Astyanax mexicanus: one gene and its partner. The protein of the gene in region 1 interacts with the protein of each later gene in a pairwise test. Links are inferred from orthologs where the notes say so. Each region holds a gene or a part of one and is shown in the gene's direction. Other genes may lie near its edges.

Region 1 (16,634 bases):
ACTTTTCTGAATCACTACACCATTTATTTGGTCATTCTGGCGAATTGCTGATGCAAGAGGTTCTAAAAATATAGCAAACAATAGGGGTGACAATGAACACCCTTGTCTTGTACCCCTATATAGACTGAACTGTGATGATATTATATTATTAGTGTTGATTACTGCTTTAGGAGAATGATATAATGTTTTAACCCACTGAATGAAATTATTACCAAATCCAAATGTTTCAAGAGCTATAAATAAAAAATTCCAATTTAATTTATCGAATGCTTTTTCTGCATCAAGAGACTTTAATTGTTTCAATTTTTTTTTGTCTGGGAGATATTGATAACGTTAAATAAACGACGCATATTATCTGAAGATTGTCGTCCCTTAATAAATCCTGTTTGGTCTGGATGGATAATAAAAGGTATAACTGATTCTAGTCTATTTGCCAATGTTTTACTAATTATTTTAACATCCACATTAATTAATGATATCGGGCGATAGCTAGAGCAAAGTGTTGGATCTTTGTCCGGTTTCAATAGGACTGATATTAGAGCTGTATTCATGTGGGGGGGGACATCTTCTATTTGATTTATATGTGCTACCATCTTCATAAATATTGGAGAGAGTATATCTCAAAAGTGCTTATAGAACTCGACCGGGTATCCGTCTAGGCCCGGTGCTTTATTATTGGGCATTTGAGAAATAGCCTGAAAAATTTCAGCAGAGGTTAATGGTAATTCCAATGTGCTAGCCTGTTGTGAGTTAATTTTCGGCAGAGAAAGTGGGTCTAAAAATGATTGTATATCCAATTTATTTGGTCTACAGTAGGATTTATACAGGTTGCTATAAAATGTATAAAATGCTCTATTAATCTCGTGTGGATCGCTTAATATGTTGCCTTTGTCATCTTTAATTGCAGGTATTACCGATTTCTCTTTTTTTTGCTTAAGTTGATCTGCTAAATATTTTCCTGATTTATTACCCTGTGCAAACACGGTTGTGCGCAATCTCTGAATCAAAAATTGATTTCTAGTGTCAATTAAATTATTCAGTTTAAATCTCACTTCCCTTAGCTGTTTTAAAATATGTTCCTTAGGGTTATTAATATAGTCTTTATTTAAACGTTCAAGTTCCTGTTCCAATGAATTTTCAATTTCTTGTTCTTTTTTTTTTTTATACGATGAAAACGAAATAATCTGGCCTCTCAATACAGTTTTTGCTGTTTCCCATAACAAAGTAGGAGAAATGTCTGGTGAATCATTTATTTTAATAAAATATTCCCATTCTTTCTTAAAGAACTCATTAAAATTTGAGTCCTTAAGAAGCGAAATATTAAAACGCCATCTCCCAAAGGATTTCTTCGGTTGAGTACAGAAAAGACTAATGCTTACTGGTGCATGATCTGAAATTATAATTGGGTGGATTTGTGTTTTAACAATATCAGCTACAATAGAATTACTTATAAGAAAAAAATCAATACGTGAGAAGGATTGGTGGTGAGGTGAAAAATATGAGTATTTTTTTGTCAGTGGGTTTTGTAATCTCCAACCGTCACTAAGACCCAAATCATCCATGTATTGTTTTATCATTTCGTTTGAATGCCATATTTTAAAGGAAGGAGAGATATTGGAACGGTCAATGTTGGGATCTAACGCTGTGTTAAAATCCCCTCCAATGATAATTGTTGAGCCTGAATAATTCATTAACTGTGAAAAAAGATGGTGAAAGAATGCTGGGTCATCTTTATTAGGGCCATAGATGCTAGCAATAGTAAAATTTTTGTTATTTATTATTACATTAATAATAACAAAACGCCCCTCTGTGTCTGTTATGGTTGAGTTATGGATTATAGAAATCTCTTTACTGACTAAAATTGCCACACCCCTTTTTTTAGAGTTAAAGGAAGCCCAATAAACATGGTTATAAGATTTATTTTTCAATTTTTCATGTTCAGAATCTGTGAGGTGGGTTTCTTGTAAAAGACAAATATGGGCTTTAAGCTTACTCAGATGACTAAAATTTTTTGTTCTTTTCACTGGTGAATTGATGCCACGAATATTCCAGCTAACAACTTTTATAGTAGACATTATGATATATTATGGATTTTAATACAGCATAATAGGTCATTAGTCGTTGATTAAGGCAGTAGGAAAGTATACTAAGGAAACTCATGATAAATGAGCAAAGAACAGAATCTAACACTGGAGAACCCCCTTTTTTACAAAACTCATTATTTAGAAAATAGATTATTTCTAAATGAAAACACTTAACAGAACAACACATATTTCAAAAATAGCCAAACACCAAGGGTGAAAAACATAGACATTTGTCGTTTGTATGTAGCTTAATGTAGGCTACGGGTGTTATTTAAAGGTTTGTGTTGTATTAAACAATATATAAACAAATTGATATAGCCATGGAGTAGTGTTATATTAAACAATATATATACGGATCAATACAGCCATGGAATAGTGTTATATTAAACAATATATATATATACAGATTAATATAGCCATGGAGTAGTTTCCATATCTCTGTACAGTTTTCCATCAAGATACAGCCTATCTACTGAGACTGTGGCGCGTGTTCCTTTCTTGATGTGTTCTTTTCTGATCTGAAAGAGTACTTTTCTTCTTTCTTGGATTTCCTTAGGGAACTGATCGTTAAGACCAAAATGTGTCCCTTTAAGTTCTCTTCCTTTGCTTTTTACGAGCTCTTTTTGTTTATATCTTTCGAATTTGGCTTGATACAACTGAAGAATTCCTACTTGTTATTTTTCATTTTTGACATACTTACCGGAGCCAGTTCATCTGCCCATTATGTTTATTATCTTGGAGACACAGAGTGCTTTTTGTGACATGTTGGATTATTGATTTCTGAATAAGTTTGGGGAAAATACCTATGTTTTTAATATTGCAATGTACAGCTCTTGAAAAAATGAAGAGACCACTTAAAATTATGCGTTTCTCAGATTTTACTAAATTTAAAAGCTCTGGAATATAATCAAGAGGAAAATGGATGATCACAAGCCATTAAATCAAGCTGAACTGCTTGAATTTTTGCACCAGGAGTGACATAAAGTAATCCAAAAGCAGTGTGTAAGACTGGTGGAGGAGAACATGCCAAGATGCATAGAAACTGTGATTAAAAACCAGAGTTATTCCACCAAATATTGATTTCTGAACTCTTAAAACTTTATAAATATGAACTTGTTTTCTTTGCATTATTTGAGGTCTGAAAACTCTGAAATTTTATTTATTTTCTCCAAATAAAAGCTCTAAATTACAATATTTTCATTAGAAATTTGGAATAAATGTTGGCCTTAGTTTATAGAATAAAACACCAATGTTCATTATACTCTAATTCAGAAACTGAAGTGGTCTCTTATTTTTTTCCAGAGCTGTATAGCAACAAAATATCGCAATATGATGTTTTTCTGCTGTTTACAGCTGTAGGACATACACAGTATATCCTGTTTGACATTACGAGGTAAATATTTTAAACCTTAAAAAGCTGTCACACACTCCTCAATCAGTGGTCTGGGCTTTACTTCAAGTGCACTTTGGTGTGAAGCTATCCGCTCCCAGTGCCATGTGTGTGGTCGTGTAATGGGTTAATTTTGTAACATGCATCAGGATATCCTAATAAAGCACACTGTGATATGATCTCTGTATCGTTGCAGCTCTAGTCCACACTGAAATTGCTAAGTGTGTGACGCTGAGTGCTCCTGGCCCCCACGCCTTCCTGCTGGTGGTCCCGCTTGGACGCTACACAGAGAATGAGAACCGAGCTGCCCGAGAGATGCTCCAGGTGTTTGGGGAAACGGCTCTACAGCGCCACACAGTGGTGCTCTTCACCCGTGGAGATGACCTGGAGGAGGGTGGTGGTGGGATAGAGGGGTTTCTAGGTCGGGAGGAAGTTCCTAGAGAGCTGAGGGATCTGCTGCAGACCTGCGGGGGGCGATACCACGTACTAAACAACAAAGAAATGGGAGATAGAACACAGGTAAATAAATGTAATCATTTTGATGGTGTATTAGATCTGGCTGATGTTAAAAGAACACTGGAAAATTGCATGTATATTCACAAAGAAAGCAAAACTGCTTATTTTACTGCAGTGGTTTTATGATGTCCTGCTTTTGTTCTAAAGGTAAAAATGCTACTCCAGAAGGTGGAGAAGATGGTTCAGGAGAACGAGGGGCGGTTCTACACCAGCGCCATGTTCCAGCAGGCCGAACTCGCCATCCGAGCAGAAGAGGAGAGACTGATGAAAGAGAGAGGACAAGGAGAGGGAGAGGAGGTGGAGAGACCGGATGGAGGGTTAGCGATAGCTAAGAGAAGACGAACGGAGCTGGAGCAGGGCTTGAGACGGAGAGAGGTGGAGGGAAGACATGATGAGGGGGTGGAGGAGAGGGGGAGGGATGGAAGGATGAGTGAAGGGAGCTGGAGGGAGAGAGAGCGGAGGAGAGGAAGCAGGCGCCAGTCACTCCGATTAGCCGTTAGCCGCTTCCGCAGGGAAGCTGCTCTGTCTCAGAAGGTTCTAGACCAGGTGAAGGTGTTGGTTACAGCCGGAGCTACAGGCATGGCAGTGGGAGCGGTGTTTGGAGCTGCTGCCCCTCTGGCTATGGCAGCTGGAGCCTCCATGATGGGCAGCTCGGTGGGGCTGGTCGCAGGGCAGTTTGCTGGGGTGTCTGTGGCAGGGAGCGGGGTGGGAAAGGCTCTTGGCGCGATTGTAGCAGCAGCAACTGGGAAAACAGCGGTAGCCGTGGGGGCTGCTACTGGGGGGCTTCTGGGGGGATCAGTGGGAGCCTTGGCTGGGGCAGAAGCAGCCGGGCCTAGAGAGGCAGCACTGGAAGCTCTAGAACAGGTTGGCACAGTGGGTGCTATAGTGGTGGGCGTGGCTGCAGGAGTTGGTGGGACTTTAGGGGCGGGAGCAGCTATAGGGGCGATGCTTGAGGGTGGGGCTGCAGTCGGAGGAGCAGTTGGCATCGCTAATGCTACGGCTGTCGCTGCACCAAATGCTGTAGTCGCTGGGGGTGCTGCTGCAGAGGGTGCTCTGGCTGCATCGCAGGCTGTTGCCACCGGGGGCGTTGTGCAGACAGTAGGGGGCGCTGCATGCAGCGGTCAGAATGCTTTGGCAGCTAGCAGCGGGCTAACAGGTGCTCTGAACACGGTGGGAACTACAGCACGGATCATCACGGCAGTGACGGAGATCGGAAAGGCAGCGGTGGGAATCGTGGTGGCCGGAGGGCTGGTGGTGAAGGTGGTGAAGGAGAAGGTTCGGTCTGCAGCTGGAAACACGGAGAGACATTCCTACGAGATTTACTGGAACAAATGAGGGACTGTGCTAAAAGACGTAGCCTTGGAGAACAAAACATAGAGATGATGCACTGTCTTAAGCCCTATCAAGACGAGATTAGTTTCTCAGGGGTTCTGAGGTAATTTTCTCTCAGAGGGGGTTCTCTGAGATAATTACAGGCTAAATTATCTACTGTTTTTCACTAAACTCCATGGTCGTCTGGAAACTGTAGTCCTGTCCAGACGCACATCTCCAAGTTTTGTCACTTTTCTGTTTAATAAAATAGCCATTTGTGCGTTTCCGCGGAGATCCACGTAAACACAACAGCGAGTGGAAATGGAGGAGCTACTGAACGCGATGTCATGTGACCGAAAAAGCCAAAAAACTCACTGGCTCCCCCTTTTTTTTATTGCAGTCCGGATGCAAGAGTTTTATCACTGAGTAGAAGTGTGAAATATTTTTCACAGACATCCCCCTGAGAAACTAATCCCCTCCGGATTGGGCTTTAACCTGCTTTTCCATCGCTTTTTAATCGATGCTATCCAACCCCAGTTTTTTAAACTGGGTTCCATTATTAATGCACTTATTATGCCGCAGTAACTAACAGGGGTATGCATTTCAACCAAAATCTGAATTTAATTATTCACCAGATGTTCACCAGAAACTGCTTAATTGTTTAGTTAAGATGAGAACTGAGTGATTCAGAGTGGCGTTTGGTGTAAAATGTTCGGTTCAAGATAATTTTACCCAGTTACAGTAGTATAGTGTAGAGAGGTAGTGAATGGAAGCAGAACATCTGAAGCTGTACAGCTCCTCACATAAAGTTATTGCAACAAACGTATTCTGAGAATTTTCACACAAAAGGTAAAGAGACCCAAATCAAATTTTCTCACCTAATACGATGTTTACTTTTAGGCTGTTCACACTTATCTTTTTGATGTGATCTATACAGTATTTAGTATTTGGACAAATTATTCCTTTACTTTGGTTTCAGCCAAAAACTTGCATTTTGGTGCATTTCTACTATTTTAGTAAAGGGGTTTGCTCTTAAATATTTACCTGAAGCTCATATTTACACTGCACTTCATTTAAAAAACAAAACATCAAAAAATGATTGATTACCGACTCAGACGATCAGTCCAGAACTGGTTGGGTATTAATTACAGTGGGAGTGTGATGTAGAGCAGAACTGGAGCAGATGTGGAGATCAGATGTAAAATGCTGGTGCTGAGTACAGTATTATGTACTGTGGTGACGTGCCTTCAGACGGGTGTGTGTATGCCTCTACTGGAACAGTCTGCTGATCTGAACTCAATAAAGCCTGTTTTTCTGGACCATTGTGTGTGGGTGTGTTCTGATGGCCACTAACTAATTACTGTTATTACTGTATTACTACTCATGCACACACTGGCGTAGGAACCGGGGGGGATGGGTGGGACATGTCCCACCCAATATTGGAAACAGGTGGATTTGTCCCACCCAAAAATGATATCGTTTCGCTCAGATCAGCTGTACTATTAATGAGGAGACAGACCGGACCAATCACGGAGCCGGCTCAGGTATTAAGTCCCGCCTCTCAGTAGAAACAGCCAATCCGTTTTGCGGCTCGCAGAGGACCGGCAGTTTGCTGTTGGGGAAGCCCCGCCCCCTCGCTGTGAGATTTAGCAGCGGGATCGGGACGCAGCTTCAGCTGATTTTAAAACGGATCTGGATATACGGAGATTTTTCTAAAAGAAAAGTAACGATAGGCTAACCACATAAACTGTGATAAGTTTCTGATAGCTGGTTAAAAATACACGACTCTAAATCAGCACACAGATTAAACACACTGTGATTAATAAACTGCAGCTGTGTAAGTGAGTTAGCTTGGAATTAGTTAGATTGGAAGTCAACGTTAAAGAAAAAATAAACTATTTATGTAATGTTCAACTTGCCCTGTACCTGATCAGCTAATCACTATTTCATTTTTAAACTGTCTTTATTAATTTAGGATTAATTTAGCTAACTAGTTGGCTAGAAGCTGGATGTAGAGGATAGCCAGAATGTAGTACAGTACTTTATGTTTGTAGTTTAAAGCAGTTTCTTAACCCTGATCACCGCCCCAAAATTGTGTTTTCCACCTGATCCAGCTGATCAGCTAATAAACAGTCATTTACTGAGTTTACTGAGTTTAATCATGTATATCCAGCAGTGTATTAGACACATCATACCACCACTTACTTTAATAAGTGCCTTTAAAGCAGAGGAAGCTCTAGAATATGTAGAACAGTGTTAATATTCAGTAGAATATGTAAGAACAGGGTTCACAGTAAGGCCACATGTCCTTTATGAAACGTAAAGTTACATTCTTTTACATAAAAGGACACCAATCTTTAGAAGAGCTCTCAGTAGAAAAAAGCGTAGGATTTTTTTTAAAGAGTGGAGAAAATGTAAATATACAACAGAATTGACATGCCAATACATGATTATAATAATAATAATAATAATAATAATAATAACCAAATCTGTTATATTATTTTAAATATTAGGTGATAACTGATCATTTTTGTATGTATATGTATATGCATATTTTTTTCTTACAACAGTAAATGTAATGTGGAGTAACATGTTTAGGTTGTAAAATCACCTTGTTAACTAATAAAAAACAAAATACAGAAAAAAATGATTATTTGTGATTAAAAGTAATTTCCACAAATGTTGTTCTAAGAAACTATTGGGTGGGCTTGGGTTCATATTGGCAAATATGTCCCCCCCAATATCAAACCTGCTCCTACGCCCTTGCATGCACACACACACAACCAGCAGGTGGTTTTCACCCACCCACTCCTGTATATCTCCAGCACAGATAACAGAATTATATTTACTTTTCCTGTTTTATAGCACAGATAACCCTGTGTATTAATAAAATTTAATGGTCAGGGTTTAAACAGGGCTGTACAGGATGTGATGCACATTATAAAACACTAACTTAAGGAAATGAAGCCCTGAGTACATTAATTAATTATACATACAGCTCTGGAAAAAATAAGAGAGCATTTAAAAATTACAAGTTTCTTTGATTTTACCAAATTGAAAACATCACAAGCCATCAAACCGAGCTGAACTGCTTGAATTTTTGCACATGGATTGGCATAGTCATAGTATCCAAAAGCAGTGTGTAAGACTGGTGGAGGAGAACATGCAAAGATGCAGGGTTATTTCACCAAATATTGATTTCTGAACTTGTTTTCTTTGCATTATTTGAGATCTGAAAGCTCTGCATCTTTTTTGTTATTTCAGCCATTTCTCATTTTCTGCAAATAAATGCTCTAAATTACAATATTTTTATTTGGAATTTGGGAGAAATTTTGTCCATAGTTTATGGAATCAAACAACAATGTTTATTTTACTATAAATAGCAAAATCAGAGAAACTGATTCAGAAACTAAATTGGTCTCTTATTTTTTTTTCTACAGATCTATATTGTTAAGACATCACAGAACTCCTTTTTCTTATATTATGTATTGTCTAACAATTAGAACAATTATAATACTTTTATTTCCAATAATATAAACTTACTATTGATGGTAGGAATCTTACAATAAAATGTAAAAATACATGTGTAGTAATCAATTATATTCTTCTGAACCTATAAACCTATTAAAATAATATTTCTGTTGAACATGTACTTCAAGATAAAAAAATACTAATAATGTAAACTTCTTTTTACTGACAATTCTTATAATATGAACCTGAACACTGTTACTCATTTAATATAACCTACTGCTTAAAATATTATGGTGCTATAAAACTTATTAAAATATTATTTGTGTTGAACTTGTGCCCTGTAGAACAATTATTATAAACACACTAAACTTAAAAAAAAAAAAATTATTTTACTATACCTTTATAAACATGCTATTACATAGTGTACGCCTACTATTAATACAAAACTATTATATGTAGCTATAAAACTAATTATACATTTATTGTTACTATATCATATCCTGTTAATATATGGTATTTCTACACTACAACGCTCTAAATCTATTTTTATCTGAATTTATGTTTTTATGAACCTGTTTTAGAGTATTTAGATCTGAGTTAGAATAATGTTTGTGTTTGGAGTTGGCGATGATGTAACACCAACATAACAGAGGAGTAGCTCCGCCCATCCGCCTCAGATACATGAATATTCATGAGATCCCGCTTCAGAGCAATAGGCGAAACCAGAGTAGGCGTGGCCAGCAGTCTGAGGCGGGTCGTATTCAAATCACAAAGCGCCTCTGCTCATCGACGTACTATCAGACCACGGAGCGGCGGGCGCTGTGATTGGTCGACTCTGCCTGGTCTCACTCCGCGGCCGAGCCAATCAGGCGTCCCCGGGGCGCATGACGTCGACGTTGTGGAACAAGATGGCTCCGTTTGTTTTGTGAAGGGGGTTCTGACGGTTCAGCTCAGCGATGCGGACAGGCCCGGTTTGGGGTATTTTGGGGTGTTTTCAGGGTCGGTTTTAAGGCTAAAACACACCCCCACTCCTCAAACACACAGGCAGAGCGGGCACCGCCTCCTCTGCTGCCCGACCCGCCCGGGGAGACACCGGAACCGGGGACGCCGCTGGTATGGACGGCGGAGAGTACCTGTCAGCCATGGAGAACATGGACCCGACCCTGTCCGAGCTGGGGGACGAGTTCACCCTCGGGGATATCGACGGTAAACAGACCGGGCTCTGCTGTGGTCGTGTCTCTAGTGTCTGAGCGCTCTGTGCGCTGTTTAGTGCGTTATATGCTATGTTCTGTGTGTGTAACCGGGGTGTGTACAGTAGTGAGACAGGTCAGTCAGTCAGTCAGATGGTGATAGTAGTAGTAGTAACGTTACTGCATTATCATAGTTTATATACTCACTTATACACTGTGTAGTACACTAAACAACTACAATACACTAAGTGTGTGTGTGTGTGTACAGCCCCCCAAAAGTTTGGGCACATCTTTTTTTCCCCACATTGTAAATTAATATTGAAGTCATCCACACTATAAAGGAACACATAAAAAATAATGTAATAACTTTAAATTGTTAAACAAACCAAAATACCAGGTGGCTCTTATCTGTGATGCTGTTAACTTGCAGTTCCTGAGGCTGGTAACTTATCCTGTGGGGCCCGTCCTAATGAGGGCCAGTTTCATCATGTTTTTGATGGTCTTCAAAGTTCCTGAAATTTTTAAGATTGACTGATGTTTATCATTGACGTTCAATTTTTTAACTTATTATTTTATTCTTTACTTAGTTAAGTAATTATTTTTATAATATGGATTAGAACTATATATGGATTAATTAAGCCAACTCTGCCTCTTTACAACTTTTCGACTGATGCTATCAAACACACTAAGAGGCAAGAAATTTAGGTTATATAATATATACAGGCTAATAGACTTGTTTAGTACCCTAAGCTCTGTATATACAGACTTATTTCCCTAGCTATAATGTACATAATGTATATACGGGCATATAGACTTATATAGTACACCAAAAGTGTATATACAGGCTTATGTTCCTAGCTATAGAGTACACTACAAAGAGTGTTTATACTGGCATATAGTTGTATTATAGTACACTTTACATACTTTTTTGAACACTAGATACTGTTTATACTAGCTTATACATCTAGTAATATAGTACACATAATAGTTACTAATTGTACGGTATACTATACAGTGTACATACTGTCTTGTAGACCAATATAGTACACAACATTTTGTATAAATGGCTTATAGATTTACAGTATAAAGTACACACTTAAGTATATATGCTGGCTTTAACACTTTTAAAGTACACTACATAGAGTGTATAGTGGCTTATACATATTATTATATTCTTCTATAATATTCTTCTCTACATTTTCTCTATATACTATATTATCCTCCTTTTACCCTGTTCTTCAGTGGTCAGGACTGCGACCGTAAGGTGGTGGTGTGTCGGTGTGTGTTTTGCTGGTATGAGTGGGTTAGACACAGCAGTGCAGCGTATCTATTGAAACTCTGTATACAGTATTGACACCTTCCTAAAATAATTTATCAAGTTTTTCAGGAAACACAAAAAAAACTATTTAAAAATGAGCAGTGGTTTAAAATGATAGTTTATCATACAGTCTCGCAGTAGAACCAGAAACAATACTAATTGAAAATTCTGAAAATATTGATTGAAAAGACAGAAAACAATTATGATTTTAACCAGCCACAAATTATAGAGCATTTCTATGTAGCTTTTGGACTTAGCTATTTCGCAGACTAAAATTCAGACAAAAAAAATCAATAATAAGCCTAAACAACAATGCAATATTCATAACCAACATTCTTTAATAATACGAACTACACAATTCTCCTCACTTATCAATTGAGGATGAGCTGTAAATTGTGTAAATTAGTTCAGTAAAGGAGCCTGGTATTGGAAATCTATGAAAATATTATTTTATTTTGACTGAGGCTTAATGAATTAGCTTAAGTCACACTCTTGACACAGGCCATTATCCTAAAGAGGTAGAATCAAATGATATGATCAACTGAGGGTGTAGGCAATTTTACAACATATGGCCATGCAGCAATATTAAGACATGATTTAGACAAAAAAAAAAAGTATTTTTTACAATTTTTTATTATTTTAGGAAGGTGTATAGTGTCAATCATAGGGCATATAACCATAACTCTTACAAAGGGGACATTATAAAGCATATATTGACCACCCATGTGGTCCTTTGTATTGTCTGTCTGTATGTACTGTAGTAGTAGTAGTAGTAGTAACAGTAATATATTGTACAGACAGTAGGCTTTCGTGTTACGGTTGTGCTTTTGTTTGTTCTGTCGACTTTAGCTCCTGACGGGGCTCATTTACCTCAGGGCAGTCGAGCTCAGGCAGATGGGGATGGGGGTCATTAGTGCAGATACAGCAGGTTATTACTCAGTAACTACAGCGGGGTGATGTGTACACTCTTATGCACTCCCAGGAGTGCAGAGATGAAGTGTGTACTGATGTTGGTGTGTGTTTAGCTGTGTGTGTAGACAGTGCACACTTACTGATCTCGGTTTTGAGAGCAGAATTGGGCATGCAGATTTACAGTGTTGATTTTTTGAGTATATTCTCTAAGTTAGACTGCAGGTTGAGTTTAGGCTCACTCTTCGGAAGTGTAGTAGTTTGTACTCACTTTGTCTGGGTGGAGTTAAGATGAAACACACAAAGTCTATCTTTCATATTGGCTTCTGGCAGCATTTATTTGCATATTGGTTGTGTGTAGTCTTGCCAATCAGGGCTATATTTGCTGGGTATTCAGTTATATTTTATATAATGGCTGATTGTCTGTCTACAATGTTTTAGACCATAAGAGCAAGTTACGCTTTTCTTAAATATAAAGTATGACTATAAAGTGGTGTGTCTTTCTCAGAACATCCTTGAACTCAGACGGAGTGCAGGTGTTCAGTTCTTCGGTGCAGGTCTTATCAGATCTGTTATCAAACTTGTCTCACATCTGCTATCAGACAGATAGTGCCACATCAATAAACTCTTGCTAATAATAAAGATGATCACACAGTAGACATTAGTGTATCTGGCCATGTTTTGATGGCACACTTTGATAGAGAACAGTATAATGGAAGGACAGCAGTGTGACCTCGGTTAGTGAGATAGTGGGGCTAATTGATTAGATAGCGTTTGATTATTGCTGCTGTATTACCAGTTCTGACCATAACATTAGTAGTTGGCCTGCAGACGTGTGGAGGCGTGTGGAACGTGTGGTGCATGTGTTCGAGGCTGAAAGTTCAGGGTTAGTGGTGACAACTGATTGTAAGGTTTCTGCGCTCAACTTTGCTTTCTGCTGCCAGAAATTGATAGTAATGCTGTCTAATGTTTAAAAGTCTAAAGTGTAAATAAATGTTTTGGGGTATTATTTAGTGATGCTACTTTACCACTTTCCTACTGTTGAGGTCAGAATGTAGATTACTTTTTACCAGGGCTGTCAATGTTAACGTGTTAACGCACACAATTCTTTTGGAATCAGTAAAGAGTTATTATTTTTAGCGCAAATTAATTAAACCACAAAGTTTGCCCCTGTCGTAACTTCCACCATAATATGCCCCACCTCCAGCCAACATGCAGATTTCATACATACTTTTTAATTGAGCTAAACAGTTTAGTCTGATATATTAGCCAGATGATATACTGCTATTAACAAACGCTGTCTCTGCTGCTCCATGCTGTTTACACATGCAGTAATGTACAGCGTTCACTGCTCGCAGCTGCACTGCACCTGCCATTAAAAATACTGTGTTTAAAAGCTCAGTTACAAATTCTCAGCATTCTGTTTTAAAACAGATTCATACTGCACAGATATATACGCGCTGGAACACAGAATCTTCACGCTATATTTACTTTCTTGCTCCTGCACCAGACAGTTCTGGCCAATCAGAGGAGACAACGTGCTTGCATGGGTTATTGGTGCGCATTTTGGTGCGTTTAGGTTTATACCTGTGTGAAACCAAACCAAACAGAGGGAGATAACGCTCTAAATAAATAAACTGATCAACTGATCTGGACCATGTGTTCGGGGGCTGCTATTTTCATGGAGTGAAAGGTTTTCCAGCCCATGAAAATAGCAGCCCCCAAACACACAGTGGGAATAAAGTCCCTCTGTCTTCCACAGCAGCTAAACTTTGACAGAGCTCCACAGTAACATCTTATGAAAATGCTTGCAGATGCCAGTTACAATTCTGTATGTAAGAGTGTAGATATATCCTCAAATATGTCTTAAGTTTCAGACAAACATCAGCTGTGTTTACCAACAAGGTGAAAACTTTGTAGAGCTTTGCCTCAGCCCTCCACTTTTCATCTAAAAGAAAGTTCTCTAACCAAACTGGGTAAGGAAACAATCCATGTTAATGAATACATTATCTGATTCTGACCCTACTGAGGTAAATTTATTACAAGAGTAGCAGTGCTAAGGTAAATTTGTTACTGGAATAGCTCTAATGAGGTAAATTTGTTTGATTAGTAGTTCTGAGGGTTTTTTTTTTGTTAGAATAGCATTGCCGAGGCAAATATATGACTAAAAACTAATCTGACTAGATTAGCACTAGTAAATTTATGATTAGAATAATTGTATCTGTATTAGTACTACTGAATTAAATGTATAATAATTAGTATTGCACAACTTGGGGAAAATTGTGACTATAAAAGCACTGCTGTGGTAATTGTTTGATTAAAATTGCACTTTTGAGGTTTCCTGTGCTGTACCACAACCATTTGTGCACCTGTTGCACTCAGCAGATCAAGGTCATTCCTCCAGGTGACCTTGGCTGAAGTGGACAAATAGAGGGCAGTAAATCTCCTCTCTCAAGGCCAGAGTGTCGTTTCTGACCTTTCATCAGTTCAGGGATGGTGTAGGTGAAGGTGTGATGCTACTGTGGGCAGGTACCAGCTGTAAATGCCACTCATCTTACCAGCCTTTCTTTTTGCTTAGGAGGAAAATTACAGGTACAGGCATTTAATCAAAAGCAGAACAGTGCTTTATTTAATCAGTTATATATACAGTTGCAAGAAAAAGTATGTAAACCCTTTGGGATTACTTGAATTTCTGCATAAATTGGTCAGTAAATGTGTTTCTGATCATCATCTAAGTCACAACAATAGACAAACACAGTCTGCCTAAACTAATACAAAAAATATATATGTTTGCGTGGTTTTATTGAACACAACATGTTCAATAAGAGTAGGTTTTAAGGAAAATCAGCATCTCAAACCCTGTCAGTGGAGAGGTGGTTCCTTTTTCATCAAGGATGTTGGGCACTCTATTAAAGATTCTCTTACTGTTTATTGAAGTGCACAAGGAAATTTGGCCAGCAGATTTCCAAACGCAGATATTTGATTCGCTCTTCTGATCTTGTCAGCTTTTCATACTTTTCATACTTAGAAACTAGCTCACTGCCATCCTTGCCCACTGATAGGCCAACTGATAGAAATGTACAGTACAATATACAGGACAGTACATTAGCCTTGTCGCTACTTGTTGTCATTGAATACTATAGAGCCAAAAAGACAACTATCACTATTCTAGTGCATATTTCTATTCGCCCACTCTCCGCTTTACGCAAATGTGTGGTGTTTACAGCACGTAGATGTGGACAATGTAATGTCACATTTCCACCCTTTTCTGTTTATTTCTGATCAAATCGGATACATCACTAACCAATATAATTCCTATATTATTGTGCATGCCTACTTTGTCCAATCACAGACTTTCTGTGTAATGAACAGCACTGTGATATCACTTTACACTCTGTGTGGAGGTTTATACTGTGTGCTGTCAGATCACATTACTGTAGCTTAGATCACAGGTTACAGTAATATGGGTGGGGAAGTCAGTGGAGGTGGGAATGTGATATTTCCTGAATGGTCATCAGTGACCCGCTTCAGCACCCTGGTGTGAAAGCAGTGTGTAAGGGTGTGAGGTGTGAGGATGAGGGTGGGAGTGTCTGCATAGTTTACATTCATTCCATCCTCCATGACTATACTCTTTAACACCCCAAACACAATACACAACTGCAAATATTAAATGTAGTATATTTTATGTCTTTAAACTGCAAACAATTAAAAGTAAATGGCAAAACAAATACAAAATAGACTGCTTTCAAGAATATAACAATATCAAGTTTTTATTGTGTCTGAACTTCTGGCAATATTATGACGTACAAAATAAAATGGCACAGCCCTAATACAAAACAGTGACCTATGTCATATTGCATATTTATTCTAAAGCTAAGGCAGGCCCACAATCCTCTCATTTTTCTGGTTGCTAACAACTGGTAAATGTGTCTCTAGATTAGCACTACTGAAATAAATGTACATTTACAATAGCACTGCTGATTTACATTTGTGACTATAATAGCACTGCTTATGTATATTTATCATTAGAATAGCACTGCTGAGGTACATGTATGCTAAAAATAGCACCGCTGAGGTACATTTGTGACAATACTTACACTGCTTAGGTACATTTATGATTAGAATGCCACTAATGAGGTAAATTTATGATTAAAATTGCACTGCTGAGGTAGTAAATGTCACCAGATTAGCACTACTGAGGTTGTATGTATGGTGCTTTATATGTATGGTATGTCTGCTAGAATGCTAAAAACATTGAGTGTTCAATAAATATTTTTAAATTGTAGTTTATCTGTAAATACTTATTGAAAAGCAGAACAAAAATACATTATGCTGTTTAATTTATTAAGTAGCAAATAAAATGAAAACCTGTATGTATTGTTCTGTATGCAGCCTTTGGAAAAAACTTTTTGGTGTCAGACAAAATTTTCCTTTGTATGCATCCC
Region 2 (16,714 bases), about 41 Mb from region 1:
GAACTTTTTTCCTTTTTTTTGCCCAGCGCTAGTACCCAAAGTTTCCTCAGAGCAACATCAGTCACAGGAAAACGATGAAAACTCTGCGGAGAATCAGCCACATCTTTGTTGCTACAGCCTGGATAGTCACAAGTCCGTACCATTTTAACACACACACACACACACACACACACCTAGCTATATATATATATGTGTGTTTACAAAGCTTATAAAAGCCAATAGACTTCTCCCTAAAGTTAGCTCGTTTGCGTTGCTAGTCTGAACACAGCTGCTAAGCACTGCCAAAACACAGAACAAGTTGACGCGTGCGCAGCTCGCTGTCAGAATGATGCGCACTGATACGAAATGAGAGAAAGTAGGACCCAAGTGATTTACGAGGCGTGACTTTTGCAGGGTTAGTTTTTTGTGATGTAAATAAATCACTCTTTTGAACACGTACTGCTTTGGGAAGAAAAAGGAGTTATTTTCCTGACCCCAGCAAACATGCCGGACTACTTTCGCTTTGACCTAAACTGGACAAGAACTCGGCTCACAGGACACTGTGGGGGGTAAGTCAGTGTGGATGCACGACACTGGTTATGATGATGCCATACAGACTCATGTCAAAAATACCGAACTATCCCTTTAAATCCTTAAATATGGCTGCTTTTCGCATGATAGCCATGTTCCGGACATAGCCTAAAACAGACCTGTGTATTGTATGACCCCAGGGCCACATCCAGCCTTTTAGGTTTCTATATCTGACCCATGTGAAGTCAATAGTAATTAGAATTTGAATATATATTATACATGCTATACAACTAAGTTGCTAATTTATCTTTCTAATTTTTGGTTCATTTACAATTAATCAGTATTGTAATTATTGTGACAGGGTCTACACTCTGTATGATTGTTTTGATGTAAAAAATGAATGGAAGTGTTGTAAGTTCATTTCTGAAGCAGATGTACAGTTTTCTGCACAGTGAAGCTGTTGTACAATGTTTCTTGACTGTTTTATGGAATTCAATAGACCTTGGCCCTCCACCACGGCAACTACCGGAATGGACCGATATATTACAGTACTTGGACTACCTGAAACTTGATGAGCCCATTATTGGTAAGACAGCATCGTAAAATCTACCATTTATTGCGAGTTGTAACATGCCAATCTTAACTCAACAGTTAATTGCCAGCCAGTTTTTAGTCTAAATAAGACCCATTCTCATAGCATAATGCTCACATTCTGTGTTATTCTAGGACTGGATTCCTTGGTGCAGCAGGAGGATACTTTTGTGGATGGCAGATGCTATTTGAATTATAAGTGTAAGATGTGTAATGTTGACGGCATCATGTGTTCTATGGTATCTCACATTGTGAGCCGAAAGCATCGCCATAGATACCTGGTAAGATTTAAGAACACGTTTTTTTCTTTTTTTTTCTTTCTACAGTTAATGTATTGTAAAGTAACTGACTATAACATAGTCTTTAATTAACCAAAGTGGTATTAAAGGGTCCTGTAACACAACTTCACAGCAACTGAAGAGGCCAGACTTGCTGACCCAAAGCAATGGTATGGGACAGAAGCAACCGGGGCTTGTTGCCAGAGCCAAGGCTGCAATTGTGGAGAAGCAAGATGGATGGGGTACTCCTTCGGTACGTAATCATAATGAAAAATTATTAAATTATGAAATATTTGATTTTTGTCTGTGATGATTTAGAATAGAATATGCTCACATTGTATGAAAGTAGCTGTTCTGACTGGTTTACTTAAACTCTGTAAATACTCAGTTTGGCATATTTCACTATGAAATATTACGTCACCTCCATCTCTCAGTATTATTGATTTTATCCGTTATAAAAAGCAGTATATAAAAGTGTAAAATAAAAAATTTTGATATATTAAATATCAATATTTAATATATTAAATCATACTTGCTATTTAAGTTTGGATTTTTGTGTTTATGTTCTGGTTTGTTTTTATTTAAGGCCATCAAAGAACCCAAAGAGAAATTCCGGCCAGTAACTCGTTCAATGCTGAAACAGGCTAAACAAGGTAAGGAGTTTTCATTCTTTTCCATCCTGCAGGACCTCAAGCAAGCATAGTATCTCCTGCATTTAAAATGGAAACAAATATAAAGCACAACAATATTCAGTGTGGCATGTAATAAATCACTTGTGTGCGTAATCGCACAACATAACCAAAAAATATTAAACTCTTACATTGACTTGATTACAATAGTAAGTGCATTTACAAACACTTAATAATAATGATGAACTGCTGAAATTTTGATGTTTTTCTGTTAATACATTTAAAAAGACCTTAGTAATCTGATAACAAGAACTTTTAACAAATGTGATGTGCAAACGTACAATAACTTTACAGCAAAGAGTTATTTCTTTTTTCTGTTTAATCTTTGTGTGTAAATAAAAACAGCAATAATTAGCTAACGGACAAGAAATAATTATTATTTGTGAGCATGTGAGTGCACTGAATGAAAATAGGAGTATTAGTCCTCAGCTTAATGTTAATAACCTAAGCTGAAACATGTATGTTTCTGGAAACAATAGCATTTGTCATCTTTAGGCTTAATATAGCAATATGGCTCAACACCACCAGTCCACAGTTTGAAAATCTCAGTTTTAAACCCTTTTTTTTATTCTTTGTCATTATTAATTGAAAAAAAAAAATAACAGTTTGACACCTTTTTTTTTTTTTTTTTTTTAAATCACAGCAGGCCCCAAACCAACACAAGGCTCTCATTCTCACGCATATGAAGCATCATCTTATGGCCAAGACTGGAGAGGGCAGGCTCACTTAACCACAGATGGATATAGACAACCGGATTTTCCAAACAATGTTTTTGGGAAGCCATCTCAATTTCATGGGAATGACCAGAATGATCGTCCCAGAGGTGATGCAGCTCTATGGCAAGCTTATCCAAACACTGACCGACCTGAAAATGCATATTATCAAGATGGCAGACCAAGACCTTATCAAAATGAAGGCTACAAAGAAAAATTACCATATCTTGAAGGAGATGGTAGTGTAAGGTCTTTTGTAGAGGGTGATGGTAGTGGAAGACACCATCTAGACAAGGCAATTCCAGGGAGCTCTTATCGCAATGAGCATCAGGATCAGTACTACCCAGAAATGGATCCCAGAAGAGGGTGGAACTCGAGTGGAGTTGTACAGCAGGATCTCTATCATGGCGGTGTTCCAAGAAGCAGGTTTGCTGACACAGACAGGAGTGGTCCAGCTCAGCACCCAGAAGAAATGGTCGGACAGGTTCGTGGTCAGATGTACGCGTCACGTGATGGAAGAGGACATAGTATGGAGGAGATGCAAAGACCTGGCAGAAGCTTTCAGAATATGGAGAAAGGAACAGACTATCTCCAAACTATGATAAGAGAAGCAAGAGCTGGAACCTATGAGATGCAGGAATATGCCAAAAGGGGTGGTATGGGAGATTATGCTCAGGAACATGTCCCACACAAAAAGAAAAGGGAGAGTAGATTTTCTGATGCCACACCAAAGGAGGTTGAGCTTGCACAGAGGAGGTAATGTCTATTTCCAATTGATGGCAATCTATCAAAGAATGGAGCATGTTTTAAAGAAGAAATCCAGTGTGAAATCAACTTGTAGAGGTGAAAATGGTGTAGTAAAATATGATAAGTGTAAACTTTTGTGGAGTAGCCCACCTCCATTCACCCCCAGCATTCTGAAATACAGCACTTTTAGCCGATGCTCCCAACAGGCTTACAGTGCTGGTGATGGGGGCATAGCATTGCCCATGCAAAGACATCGCCACTTTTTTTAATAAACTTTTTTATTTTCTTTGTTAATGGTGTGAAAATAGCCGTTTCTTTGCACCTGTCACCAGCATTGTAAGCCTGTTGGGAGTATTTGCAAAAAGTGTTGCATTTCAGAATGCTGCGGGTGATCAGAGGTGGGCTGTGTGACAAAAGTTTCTACTCATCATATTTTACTATACCTCCATTTACACATGATTTTTACATAATTTAACAAACTTCATATTTTTTTTTAATATGTAAAGTTATATGTGCTAGTTTTGTATCTTTTATGATTCACTTTGATAACCCTTGTACTTAAGATTTCCAATGTATATATATTTTTTTCAGGTTTAAAGAAGGCACATTTCCACCCATGAATCAAAGTAGAGGCCCAGTTCAGGTGTGTTTAATGGAAAGTTGTCACTGCTCCAAGCATGTGTACTCACTAGATCATTGTGCGTGCGTGCGTTGAACATCTATTAATGAGATTTCTTGCCATCACGTTCTTGTGATTAGATTACAGGCAAGGTTTGCATCTTATGACTCGTCCATTAAAGTACTGCATAAACAACACTTTGCTAAACTTTGTTGTAAATACTCAACAGTAATGTAGACGTTCTGACTGTCTGTTGGTATTTAACATTATTTGATCCACCGGGTCACTTGTGTTGCTTATGTGGCAGAAGTCATATTAACTTCTGCCCAGTGACATTTGGCATGTTGGTTTGTTGTTTTTTATGTTTTGTTGGCCTCAGATGCTCTAACAACTACAAGTACAAAATGACAAAAGTCATTTGGCCAAAGGTCCTTAAGTGTATTTGTTTTTTTTTTTTTTGGTCCTAATATCATATCAAAAATGTCTATACAGGTATTTGAAGAAAGAAGGGCTTTAGATTCGATGCACACTGCTGTGAACTCGGAAAATGTTTTGGACGTGCTGGTAAGTGTAGACGATTAAACAAATAATTACTGTCATTGTTTTGTGTTTTTACTTTTTTTTTTTTTTTTAAGGATGGGGTCCAAATTGACAGTGCAGAAGAGGCTAACTTCTTGAAGCAAAAGTTGTGCGATGTTCTGAAGCAGTTTCATGCGAATAAATCTCAGCGTTCTGAGGTTTGAACTGGATCCTTGTCTTTTCACTACTCTAAAATAAGGTTTATCTTATAAATTCTAAATCTTTTTTTCCACTCCTCAAACACATCCCAGGTCTCTCCAAGTGACAGAGAGTACAGGAGTGACGTATGGATGGATCAGCGGAGGAACGCGCAGGAGATAAGAGAGTCCGCAAGATATGACCGTGATCTTAGAAATTTAACAAATGATTCCACGGGCGTTAAAGAGACATGGCCATGGCCAGAGAAAAATACCAGAGATGTTCAGGACCCAAGATATGTTGAAGACCAGAGACCTGATACAAGATATGAAAATCGTTCTACAGATTTTCAAGAATCAAGACCTTATGCAGACTCTCAATCAGATTTCCCACAGGCAAGAAGGTTCAAGGACAATCCCAGAGATTTTCAACACGGTGGCCAATTTGGAGAAAATCGTATGGCTTTTCAACAGGAAAGAGGGTTATGTGACAACTCCAGGGATGTTCAGCAAGCGGGACATTTTGAAGATCATTTTTCAGCATACCGGCAGGCCAGCAGTTTTAAAGAGAGCTCAAGAGCAGGACATGTCGAAGAGGACCCCAGAATCTTTCAGAGCATGAGACACACCGGGGGTACTGAAGAAAACAGAAGTTACGAACAACAATTTGAAGGAGCAGTATTGGGAAGACATGGCGATCGTGACTTCAGACGCGTTGATGCTCAGCATGAATTTGAATGGGGTGCACAAAGAAATAGATCGACTGGTCGGTCTGATGAGTTCAAGGATTATCATCCAGATGCTGAAAGAAAAGCTTATCAAGGTAGGCTGATGAGCAGTTCTAGTTTCTTCTAGTTCGATGTCTGTTTAGAATATTTTATACTTTGCGTATATTTATTGTCTAAATCTTAGAAGAAATAAAGGGTCGAAAAGAAAATTTAAAAGCTGATCAAATCCCAATTTTGTTTCACACTTATCTTTTCAGAGGGCCATTGGAAAACCAGGTCGCTCAGAGAAGATCAGGCATATGGCGAGAACCAAGCGCATATGCCTCATTACCACGTAGATCCAAGTACAGAACTCTACGATCCATTTCATCCATCATCGTCTCCACCACCAGCACCACCCCCCTCCAGTCTGGAAAAGCTGGCTTCCACTCTCTTGGAGCTTGTGTCACGAAACTGAATCTGAAAGGATTCCTAAGTGTAATGTACATAGATTTGTATTTGCTTATTTTGTGTAACGGTTAATTATAAATGTGTCATGTCTATTAGAAATGAATAACAGACATAGTTCTTTTCTGTTCTGATTGGATTGTATATTGCATTTGTAGTTGTTTTGATCTTTTTGAATTGTTGGCTGAATCTAAAAGAGAATTGTTGTTGCAGAAAATACCAGAAAAAATAAATTTTTGTTCCTAAAATCCTTCTGTCTCTTTCCTTAATTCCTCATGTCAATTTTCTTTCTGGCCGAGTTGTTCAGTGTTAACATTGGGGGGGAAAATGCAGACTTTCTGACTCCTAATAATGAGTATGAAAATAATTATCCCATAAGAGCCCAGACCCAGTTTTGAATATTGATTCAAAATAATTGGATCAGTTATATTGAGCAGCCCATTAATGATTCTTCTGATCGTGATCAAGGTCACAAAACTTCTGTAAATCTTTTAAGGTTTAAATCCCAAAGCAACACATCACAATGACAATTTCACAACATGTTTCATCATTTTGTTCAGCTTTGTAAATTGGCTTTTGGTAAATGGGGTCAGATGCACACATTCACAAACTGCCCTGCTACACACCCAGGATGTTTACATGCGTCACTTGAGGATTTCATAAGTTTGACTGAGGGACCAAGTACTGTAAAAAAAAAAAAAAAAAAACGCTTTCCGAAAGGACTGAGACACATTACTGGGAGGAGTTTTAGTTGTTGAATGAGCCATGGAGAAATGAATGTGTTCAAACTTATCTAACATGGTTTAAACCACCAGATTTGCAGTGACAGCAAAAAAAGGACACCTACTACTGCAGGACACAGCGTAGCTGAAGCTGAAAACATAAAAGGAGGAAGTAGATGCCGGTCGAAAGAAAATGTATTTTTATGTACCATTACTGAGACCATATTACCTTTTTTTACTTCATGTTTTTTCACTTGTTGACTGTACATGTCAAAATGCAGGAAGGTAGATCTCCATAATGAGTACTGATAGCCAGTACTTTAAAATAATTGGTGTCCACATTTCACCATATAATGTATTTAAGGATTTTGGAGCACACTGTTGTCTTTCCCATAAATCTGCTATTTTAATAAATAATGCTAAGTGATTCTGTCCCTCATCTTTTGTCCCCAGCCTCGTACCCTGGGTCATGCTTGATTATACGGTTTAGCTTGGGCAGTTTGATCATGCATCAACTGAACTTGTAGACCAGCTAAACCATCAAACTTCTACCCAGGCTGTTTTGTTTTTTTTGGTAGGGAAACCATGTTTGCATGAAAAACCATTAAATTGGTAAAGAAAATCAATCGAGTACATCTAGTGAAGTTTTTTTGAACATTCACTTTAGGCATATACATCTTTATTACTATTACTACTAAATATGCATTAACATTTGACTATCAAAAATAAAGCTGCACAACAGGGTGGATTGTAATAAAAATGTGGATGATCATTGGAATTCACCATTTGAAATCACCAATAGAGTTCATGGTGACATTGTTCAGTTTCAAATATACATTTTAATTTCCTTATAATTTACAATGACAGGGTAGAAAGCATTAGCTTTGCCTCAGCTATATATGTTTGTAAAAATTAATGAATATCACATTAAATTAACATTATAAATTGCTGAATATGCAGGAAGGGTCTTTCATCCCTTAAAAAAAGACAACAATCCACAGTAATTTACTGGTAATTCACAAAACTTGGTTGAGATTTGGGGAAGCTGCTTTTAGCTATTATGGCCCAAACCTTTGGAACGCAAAGCCATTTCATCTTTACACATTTTTAAAAAGAGTATTAAAACATTTTTATTTAAATTAGCATTTTCATGTGTATATTTTTTTTGTGTAAAGCACTTTGGGTTGCACTTGTGTATGAAAAGTACTGTATAAATAAAGATTATAATTATTATTTATTATAATTATTTTTTTATTATTGTGTAAATATGCACAGTTGAAATGAGCGGGCTGCTCTCGCCGAGCCAATCGTAACGGCGGAGGGCGGGGCTTGCCGGAATACAGGTGGACTGCGCGCTTTACAGGTGGGTTTCTGTTTTGAACGTCACGGTAAACGTAACACTTATTCCGGTTTGAAAAGAAGTTGTCAAAGCGTCGGCCATCTTGGCTCCTGTATCACCCTGAATTAAATTAAAATAGCGCTGAAGAGGACTGACTACAGGACTACAGGACTGCTGTACGGGTTCATCACCGAGAGTGAGTACAACAGCGGGACGCGACGCGCCGCTCCGGCTCGGTTTTAATGGCGGGTTGGGGTTAGATTAGGCGGAGGTCATGAGAGAGCCCTCGGCCAATGAACGGCCTCATCCAATGATTGTTTTGGAGGATGAACATGGGCGCCATTTCCCTCCTCGCTCTCTGAGGCGCTTATTGGTGGCTAGTGGAGAGGAATGGAGGCGGTCGGGAAACTGGCGGCCACTATCCGCCATATTGGCTCCGGGCTCCGCTGCGGCCGGTTGAACGCGGGCTTTGTGTTGAGCCCGAATGGCGTTGGTTTTCAACTCGCCAGCCCTTAGAAAGCTTGATTGGTGGAATCTAGTCCGGGGTTTGATTGGTCTGAAGGACAGATCCAAACGTAGTCTTTATTGGTTAGTATGTCTTTACAGCGCTTTACAAATATTTTAAGACACTTTAGCGTGGGGCTGCTGGATGTGTGACTGGACGCATCGCTCCGCTTTTAGTCCACAAACAAGATACTCGCGGCCTGCTGATAATAGCGAGCATTGTCTCCAAACTTTCACCAGCTCCTGTTTAAAACGCACATTAACACGCTGTCCGCCGGCGTTCATAAGGCTAGTGATCATACTGGCTTACAGTAACTACACTGTGTTACTGCTGAGCCAGAAGCCGCGCTGCCATTCACTTTCATTACAGGGTTATATTTATTAAACGATTTCTAGCTAACATAGTTTAGCTTAGATTGGTGTTAGCAGGCTAACGCTAATGGTCATGTGGGTTTGTGTTACGGCGAGCACAAATATTACATATTTGGTTATAGCATCACTTTACACTGTTTAAAAAAAACAACATAAAACAAAAAAACATGCAAATACTCCATCAAACAGGCTGTAAGAACTTTAATTTTCGTGCTTTCCCGCGGTAAACATTTGTTTGTACATAGCTTGCTAACTTATTAACTAGCTAGTTAATGTCTGTGCCAAAATAGCTAGCGTTAGCTAGTGATAGGTTAGTAGTTAACTAACCATATATATAAGTTATATATTTATAATATGTAGCCTTAGCTAGTTAACCCTCTATGAAGGAAAACTGTGGATATTAGTTATCAAATGACAGACTGATCATTGGGATCAAAGCTATAGGTACTTTTGAGCAGCATAACAGATGTCATATCGTAACGTGAGCAAAAATATTTCAAAAATACCCTGATATATAGTCGTATATTTTAGCACCATATGGACCATCAGGGTAAAACAATTGCTCTTTGTAGCAAAAGGAAAATTCACACTTCTAATTTCCCATTAAGTACCTGCTAGAGACAGATTCTATTTGTACAGTATTATTTATTTTACTTCATTTCTGGATATATGGAGTGCATTGTTAGTATCGTGACATTATTGATGATCTGCAGTAAATCTCAGTTAGGACTTTGGTTCATTAAATCTGCCATATGCCACATGCAATAAAATCAAACATTTCCAAAGTTACTATAACATATAAATCAAGTCTTGCTTGGTCTCAGAAAGTAGGGTTTATTCAGGGGCACTGTGTTTGTGTTCAAGTTACTGGTTACAGTAACTGTGTACTCTAATTTCCAAAAAAACTGGAATCACCACAAGATACAAGAAGTTTTTGACCTTTCATTTTCTGGCTCTACTGCCCAAACCTTCAGTACTTCTTCTCCTGACAGCTCTCAGTCTAACTCACATTCACAGTTCTGAATAAAATCATTTCACCTTACTCATCTCTGTGCTTACTAAGTATGGAGCCTGTGGTTCACTACAGAGTACATTAAATAAATGCTGATTTTTCAAATAGTTAACATTGCTGTGCATGTCTAAAAAAACAATGAAATTAACTACCTGTGACAAAAATGTAACATCTGCACAAAATGTAATCACTTTTCCTTTTATTGCACTAAAAGTATTCAGAAGATTCAGGCTAGTTTTGGATCTCCCACAAAGTAATGCCAATCTTTTCAATGATAAAATATAGAGGTTATATTATGCATAATCCTTTTAATTGCACCACAAATTAGATTACTTTACATGGTTCATATGGTCATGAAAAACCTGGAAAAGTAATGGAATGGCAATTTTCAGTCCTGGATAAGTTTTGGAAAAATAAAAAAAGAAAATGGAAAAGTCATGGAAATTTGATCTACAAATCTTTTTGTTTCCATTTGTCAGCAGAGAAAATCTATTTTGAGCTACAAATACATCAGCTCGAAGTTAATTCAGTAATTTAGTCTGATCCATTTTTAGGCCTACTATAAATATATTATATCATATAATATTATATTATAGGTTTAGTTGATTTTTGGTTTTATTGTCCATGTCTGCACTCATGTTTTAAAAATTGTATGGTCATGGAAATTTGCCTTAAATTAGGAATATAAGGAGCCTCCTTCACATACTTTATGTATGATAATATCGGTGTAAACGGACTCTGCAGAATGTAATAACGATAACTAGTGATGCTGTACAGCTCCAGTAGGCATATTTGGGGATATGATTTGTCATGGTGCTCGTCACCTTAATCCAGAATAATCAGATGCAATTAAAACAAGCTCTTCAGCCCAGCCTCCAAGCCAGGACTTTACTTAATGGAAAGCCTTTGTAATTTACTACAAAGGATTATGTACTTCCTGATCTCATTTATCTAGTAAACTCTACTTAGCCTATTTGCAGTGAATTAATTCCAGTCGTAGCATGTTGGGCATTATATTGCTTTCTCATGGATATAAAACCAGCTGAACAGTCTGTGCTGAGTGACACAGTGCATTTAATATTTCAGCCGCTGTTTCTAACCACATTACCCAAAGACAGTGAATGTTGCTGTAACACAGGAAGTGAGGTCCTCTGTGGCAGTTGAATGGCATGCCTGGAAACCATGACTCTCATGATAGTGCACCTTGATCTGACTTGGTCATAACCTGTTAAGATGTCTGTTAAAACTTTTGTAATGCTTACTTTTGTAAGCCTTATCCAGGGCGCAGTTGCAGACATACTGTTTAATTTTTAAAACCAGTGACTGGTGTAAAGGGAGGTTTTGCACTCAAATCATCTACAGAGCTTTTTTAGGAAATAGGCTACCTTTTTTGTTAGTTATCCTGTTTAACCCAGTGTTGCGCAGTTATGTGAGATATATCCAGCTCAGTTTGAGGTTAATTAGGTCCCATTTCACTCAGCTGCATTTTTTTATGGATTATTTAGTAAACAGCTTCCCACATATCCATCCACCTTTGCTGTTCACACAGCAAATTTCCCAGCACAGTCACGGTTGTTCCTAGTGATGTTTGATATACCAGACCACTGTTTAAACTTTCAAAACTCGTCTGGCTAGTCTGTGTTCTTATATAATTGCTTATATTTGATCAAGTTGCAGGTAAGATTTTAGTTTTTAATGATTACCCTAATGTTTTTTGCTGGTTATTGGTGGTCATATATACATTTTTGTTTTATATCACATCGTGACCATGAACTGCTGATTCTTATTATTTGCACTATACTTACCACAAGCTGGAAATGCATATTGTCTTTTTGTGGGCATTGATTTTATTTTCATTTTCAGAACTTTTCTTTAGACAGTTGCTTAGAGGAGTCCATATTGTGTAAAAAATAAACCATTAGAAGCTTTGTAATTCATTTAGCTGGGAGTTTGTTACAGTAGGTTACATTGCATATGGTGGTTTATACATGCATTTTGTAGCTGCAGACATGCTTATTTTTCGCAGGCATACTTCACTCATTTTCAAAGGATGTGCATCAAAGCAATGCAAGCACCAGAGTACCAATTCTGCCCTCCTATGGAAAAATGACTAATTTAAACTATGCATTTATAGATGTGTTGATGTGCATTTTAAAAAATGCATTTAGTTGTATGTATTTATTTATCGAGATGAGAGAATTTGGGAAAAATGGTTTTCTTAACGCCCTACATATTTAAGTTTGGTTAGGTACACAGAAGAGCTACTACAAGAATCAGTGATGGCCAGATCTTATTTATTAAATTAATTGCATACATGGATAACTTGTCTCATATTTGTAAGCTACTCATAACGCTGCATTTTGGGCTAAGCATAACAAGCATGAGGGAGAAATCTAGTCACTGCCCTCAGCAGGGGTCGTGATGGTGTTGCAGGTAGCAGTGAGAGAATGCAGCCATGGCATTTTGGCCAGCTGTTCCATAATCTCCTGTGCCTTGCTGCTATGTAATCATTTACCAGTGTACTGTGTGTCCAAAACGCTTGAAATCAGTAATGCTTCGCCTCAGTCAAGCTCGTTGGTGACCTGCTCTTTCACTCTGCTTTTTTTTTTTTCTTGTACATTTTGATCCTGTAGAACACAACCTCTGTTCGTACCCTCCATCTCTGCCCCCTCCCCCATCTCTCCCTGAATATGCAGGTCTGTGTGTGTTCCATCCTGCTGTTTAGTTTCTCAGAACAGTGGGGATTTGCTGTAATGACAGGAATAACCTTGAGGTCATTCCACCATCCCCTGCATCTTTGAAAGCAAAAATACCATCTACTGCTTTTACCTGCTGCCATTTCTATAAATTGTGTGATTGTGACCTAGTCAGCTTGGGTGAGAAGTGAGGTCATCTGAAATGTGATTCATGAATTACCGTACTGTACCCTTTTGCACACATAATTGAGCTTTGCGTAAGTGGTGCATCTGTCTACATTATTAAAACTGCTGCATGAGATTTTCTATACTCATAATATCCTAATTCATATGAGATGTTGGTATTTTTGTTCACAACTATGTAATGTTATAGTTTATTCATAATACAGAAAACATCTCTTTTTTTTGGTTTGTTTTATAGTTTTAAACTCTGGTCAATTGTGTTTGTCTGTTCCTGCCTTTGACAACTGTCAGCGTATTTAGGCTGAATGACTTAAGGTCACCTTTGCTGGTCAGTGTATTTCCTGATTTCTTAACGGCAAAACATCATACACGTAGTCTTGTGCTAATGCTTTAATCCTCACCAATAAACTGCACATTGCCTGCACCTTTAGAGCACGGATGTCCTTGCACATGTATGTGCCTGCAAATCTGCCCTGTATGACATTCCACTTTAAATCATCCGGCGACAGCATGCGGCATGTTCCTTGACACCCCTCTGAGCCAATGGCTGCTCTGGAGGTGATTTGCATCAGCGCCGAGTCGGCCACTGTGCTCCTCGGAGGGGCGGGCTGTAGAGACATTTTGTTTGACATTGTAAATAAGCAAGGGACAGTTGTTAGTAGAGCCAGTTGTTCAGTCCAGCTCCGGCAGCAGAAGAGATTTGCAGGGAGGTAGCGAGGGGGAGAGTTTTAAGGCTAGAAGGCAGAGGCTGTCCTTTACCCCGTGTCCTTTTTTTTTCTCCCCCCACTTTCTCCTTTTGCCTGTTCTTTTCTCTCTGTTCCTTTTTTCATTCCCTGACCCCTATCCTACTGCTCAAGGTAACTTAAAACAGGAAGTTGACTCTCAGTGAAAAGGGGTGGAGTAGACCGAGGGTGAGGAAAAGGAGGGGGGAGGTGGAATTACACAGCCGGTGGACGGTCAGCCAAGCCAATAGACGCGAGAGCGGACAGTCTTTGATTGGAAGAGGGGGAGAAATGGGTGGGGGTTTGTGAGAGAGGCGGGCCGTAAGTATCATGTAGCAGGCTAGATTGATTACTTTCAAGTGTTAAAGGGAAAGCAGGCTGGAGATTTTTGTCCAGGACTTGCTCAGACTATCTTCTGTGTGTATCTCTCCCTCCGACTCTCTCGCTTTTTTCCCATCTCTTTCTCTTTCTATCTCTCCCTCTTTTTATCTTTCTCTCTGTCTCTCTCTCACTTTCTCTTCCGCTCTCCCGGCAACTCTGCTCGAGCTGAAGCAGGGGTCAGCTGAAAGACAAACACCAGGGCTGCCTGGCAGAGACAAACTCTGTCTTTGGAAGGCTCTCTAGAGCAGGAATGGAAGGGGGCTGTGTGTTTAGGGAAGGGGGTGTGTGTAGAGGAGATGGGGCAGTGAAGGGGGGAGGGGAGGGGTTGAAGAAGAAGAGGAAGAAGAAGAAAGGGGGGCTTTAGGTTATTGCTTTCGGCTTTGGGCTCAGAGTGCAGCGCTGGACAGCCTGCCCCACACAGTCTTTTGTTTGCTTCTGGGACAGAGTGCCTGTGGACAAGAGACTTTTCCTGTCTGCCTCCGAAGGAGACTTCGGCTCCGAACATCTGTCTCCTCTTCTGTCCGCAGAGCACTATGAAGGGCATGGGGTAAGTGTGACAAACTGCCTTCAGACAGCGCCATAAGCATGTATTTGATGTTTTTGTTTCTAGATCATTTTTAAAATCTTTTTCTTGTTCTTGTTTGTTCTCTCTCGCTTGTTTTGGAAATGAGATGCTTCCTCTGTCCTCCACCATGCTTCCCCTCCTCCCTTCGTCCTCTACTTTTCCCCTTAGTTTAAATGGTTTTCTTTTTCCTTTTTTTACAATGAGAACTAATATACTTTAAACTTGTTCACTTAGGCATATCAGCAGTGCAAAAAGGTTAGGTGTGCAGACAAATCTGTCAACTCGACTTTTAAAACCGGTGTACTTTCTCTGCCTGATCTTCTTGAACTCTTGTTACTAATTGATGGATGGCGGGTACTTCTAATGGCTTCTTGTTGAAGCATTGGTTTTAACTATGAACCTGTTAAAAACCAACCACAGATGTGTCCGCTGCATGGGTTCTTGTATGCGTCGAGCGATGCCGGAAGATGGCAAGCGTCCGGCTGCACAGGAGACCAGCTTCACCTTCAAGGCCCAGTCCTTCATAGCTTGTTTACGCTTTCCTGACAGTGATGTAGAGCAGAGGGCAAATATGGCGGTAGGGTCTAGGGGACAAACTTGAGCTGGCACCGTGGGAGCGATGCTGTGGCAGGTCCTTGTCTGTGCGCTGTTATCTCCAATAGGGTACTTCCCCCTCACTTAATAAGCCTCAAACTAATCTGTAGTCCACTGCATTTTCTGTTCCCCTTCTAATTGAAAGTTTCCATTGGAGCCTCTGACAGTGCGGTGTCCCAATGGGGGGAGGAGAACTAAAAATAGCTCAGAGTTGGAGCCCTCACTGCCAAATCCCACTGCAATTTGTTGTTTGCATGAGATTTGAATATCATTTGAAGCCCTCACTGCACTGTTGGCAATGTGAGCCAGAAAAAGTGAATGAAAACAAATATAATGTGCAGCAGTGCTGCAAACAGCAGCGATCTGCTTAAAGGTGACCTTTTTCGCGTGGTGTTTCTTTTGACCCAGGCACACTTCAAATCAGGGTATTGCACTTTACTTGCAAGGGTGTCTTGAAAATGGCCCCAGCATTTAAGACAAACTTTACACTTTCACAGCTGTTTGCCTTTAGAGCTAACACTTGCTTGTCATGCCTTGGTGTGCTAGCCAGGCCTGTTGGTGGATGAAGGTCACAGGAATGTGAGAGCGGTTCCCTCAGTGGATCTGTCAGCAGGGAGAGAGCGTGAGAGTGTGAGGACAGTGCATCCCTCATAGGCCCCCAGACAAGAGAGGCCCTTTCACCATCAGCCTCCGTCCTCTCTGGGGAGGACACGGGCACTCTGAGGAGAGTTTACCACTGGGTCGCCAAGTGCTGCAGCAAAAGTCCCTCTCTCCACTCGCTTTCATTCCACTTTCTCGTGGTTACAGTATCCCTGACTCTTTCTCCCTCCCTACCTAGTCCCCCCCCTCCCCCCTCTCTGCTATTGAATGACCTTGAGAGATCAGTAACTGTTTCCTGGAGTTGCTGTGAAGCTGAATCAAGGGCATGTTCAATACATTGGAGCCATTTGAAGGTTCACACAGATTACTTACAGGTCACTGCAAACAAGCCTGTTGTCCTTTCGCACTTGGAACAGTCTTCAGATTCACCAAGCTGGGTATAAAAGCAAGCAGAAGGTTATTTGTCGGTTAATTTGTAATTCATTACTGTGTGCCGCTCCATGTCTTGTTTTGCCCGAGTAGATGATTAACCAGCAACAGCAACCAGGGCAGCTTTTGACGACTGTCCTCTGTGTGAGAATGTCACTGTAGTTAATGAGTCCTGAACATAGCTAGGCAAATGGGTTTTGTACCCTTCAGGTGACCCCTCCCCCCCAAATCAAATGTTAACCGTATTTTGTTGTGTCTACCTGCTGGCAGTTAGACTGGAAACACAAAATTTAACTGTTTGGGACAAATTAAATTCAGCAGGTTTGTACAGTCAAGGGCATTTGGGAGCTCTACAGCCTGCTGTAGTCACCCTGTAGTACTTTTCAGTATTGTACAAAACACACTTCCATCCTTTTCTAAATACACACACATCCGCCCACCATCCCTTTGCCCCAAATTGCTCCTCATCCATTCTTGAGTGCAAGCCCCCACCCCTTAGCACTTAGATGTCAGATAAGGTTGTGTTACTCCTTCATATCTGCTCTCATCAGCGTTCT

The links.
Region 2: the proteins of srebf2 (region 1) and nfyc interact in binary tests that used the Homo sapiens proteins (3 or more experiments, as listed by UniProt). The link is inferred for Astyanax mexicanus from reciprocal best matches to the Homo sapiens genes SREBF2 and NFYC.

The regions. Positions count from the first base shown.
Region 1 is NC_064410.1:8,703,404-8,720,037, reverse strand, and holds the start of srebf2 (sterol regulatory element-binding protein 2), read left to right. Parts: upstream 1-9,665; 5' UTR 9,666-9,887; coding exon 9,888-9,978; intron 9,979-16,634. Other genes in the region: uncharacterized protein LOC111188799, read left to right, coding at 3,671-3,993, 4,138-5,325.
Region 2 is NC_064410.1:49,638,394-49,655,107, forward strand, and holds the start of nfyc (nuclear transcription factor Y subunit gamma), read left to right. Parts: upstream 1-8,142; 5' UTR 8,143-8,295; intron 8,296-8,662; exon of another isoform or gene 8,663-8,687; intron 8,688-14,317; exon of another isoform or gene 14,318-14,516; intron 14,517-16,714. Other genes in the region: uncharacterized protein si:ch211-13c6.2, read left to right, coding at 1,010-1,096, 1,237-1,382, 1,513-1,632, 1,966-2,032, 2,712-3,537, 4,120-4,171, 4,640-4,711, 4,783-4,884 and 2 more. UniProt on the Homo sapiens protein: Component of the sequence-specific heterotrimeric transcription factor (NF-Y) which specifically recognizes a 5'-CCAAT-3' box motif found in the promoters of its target genes.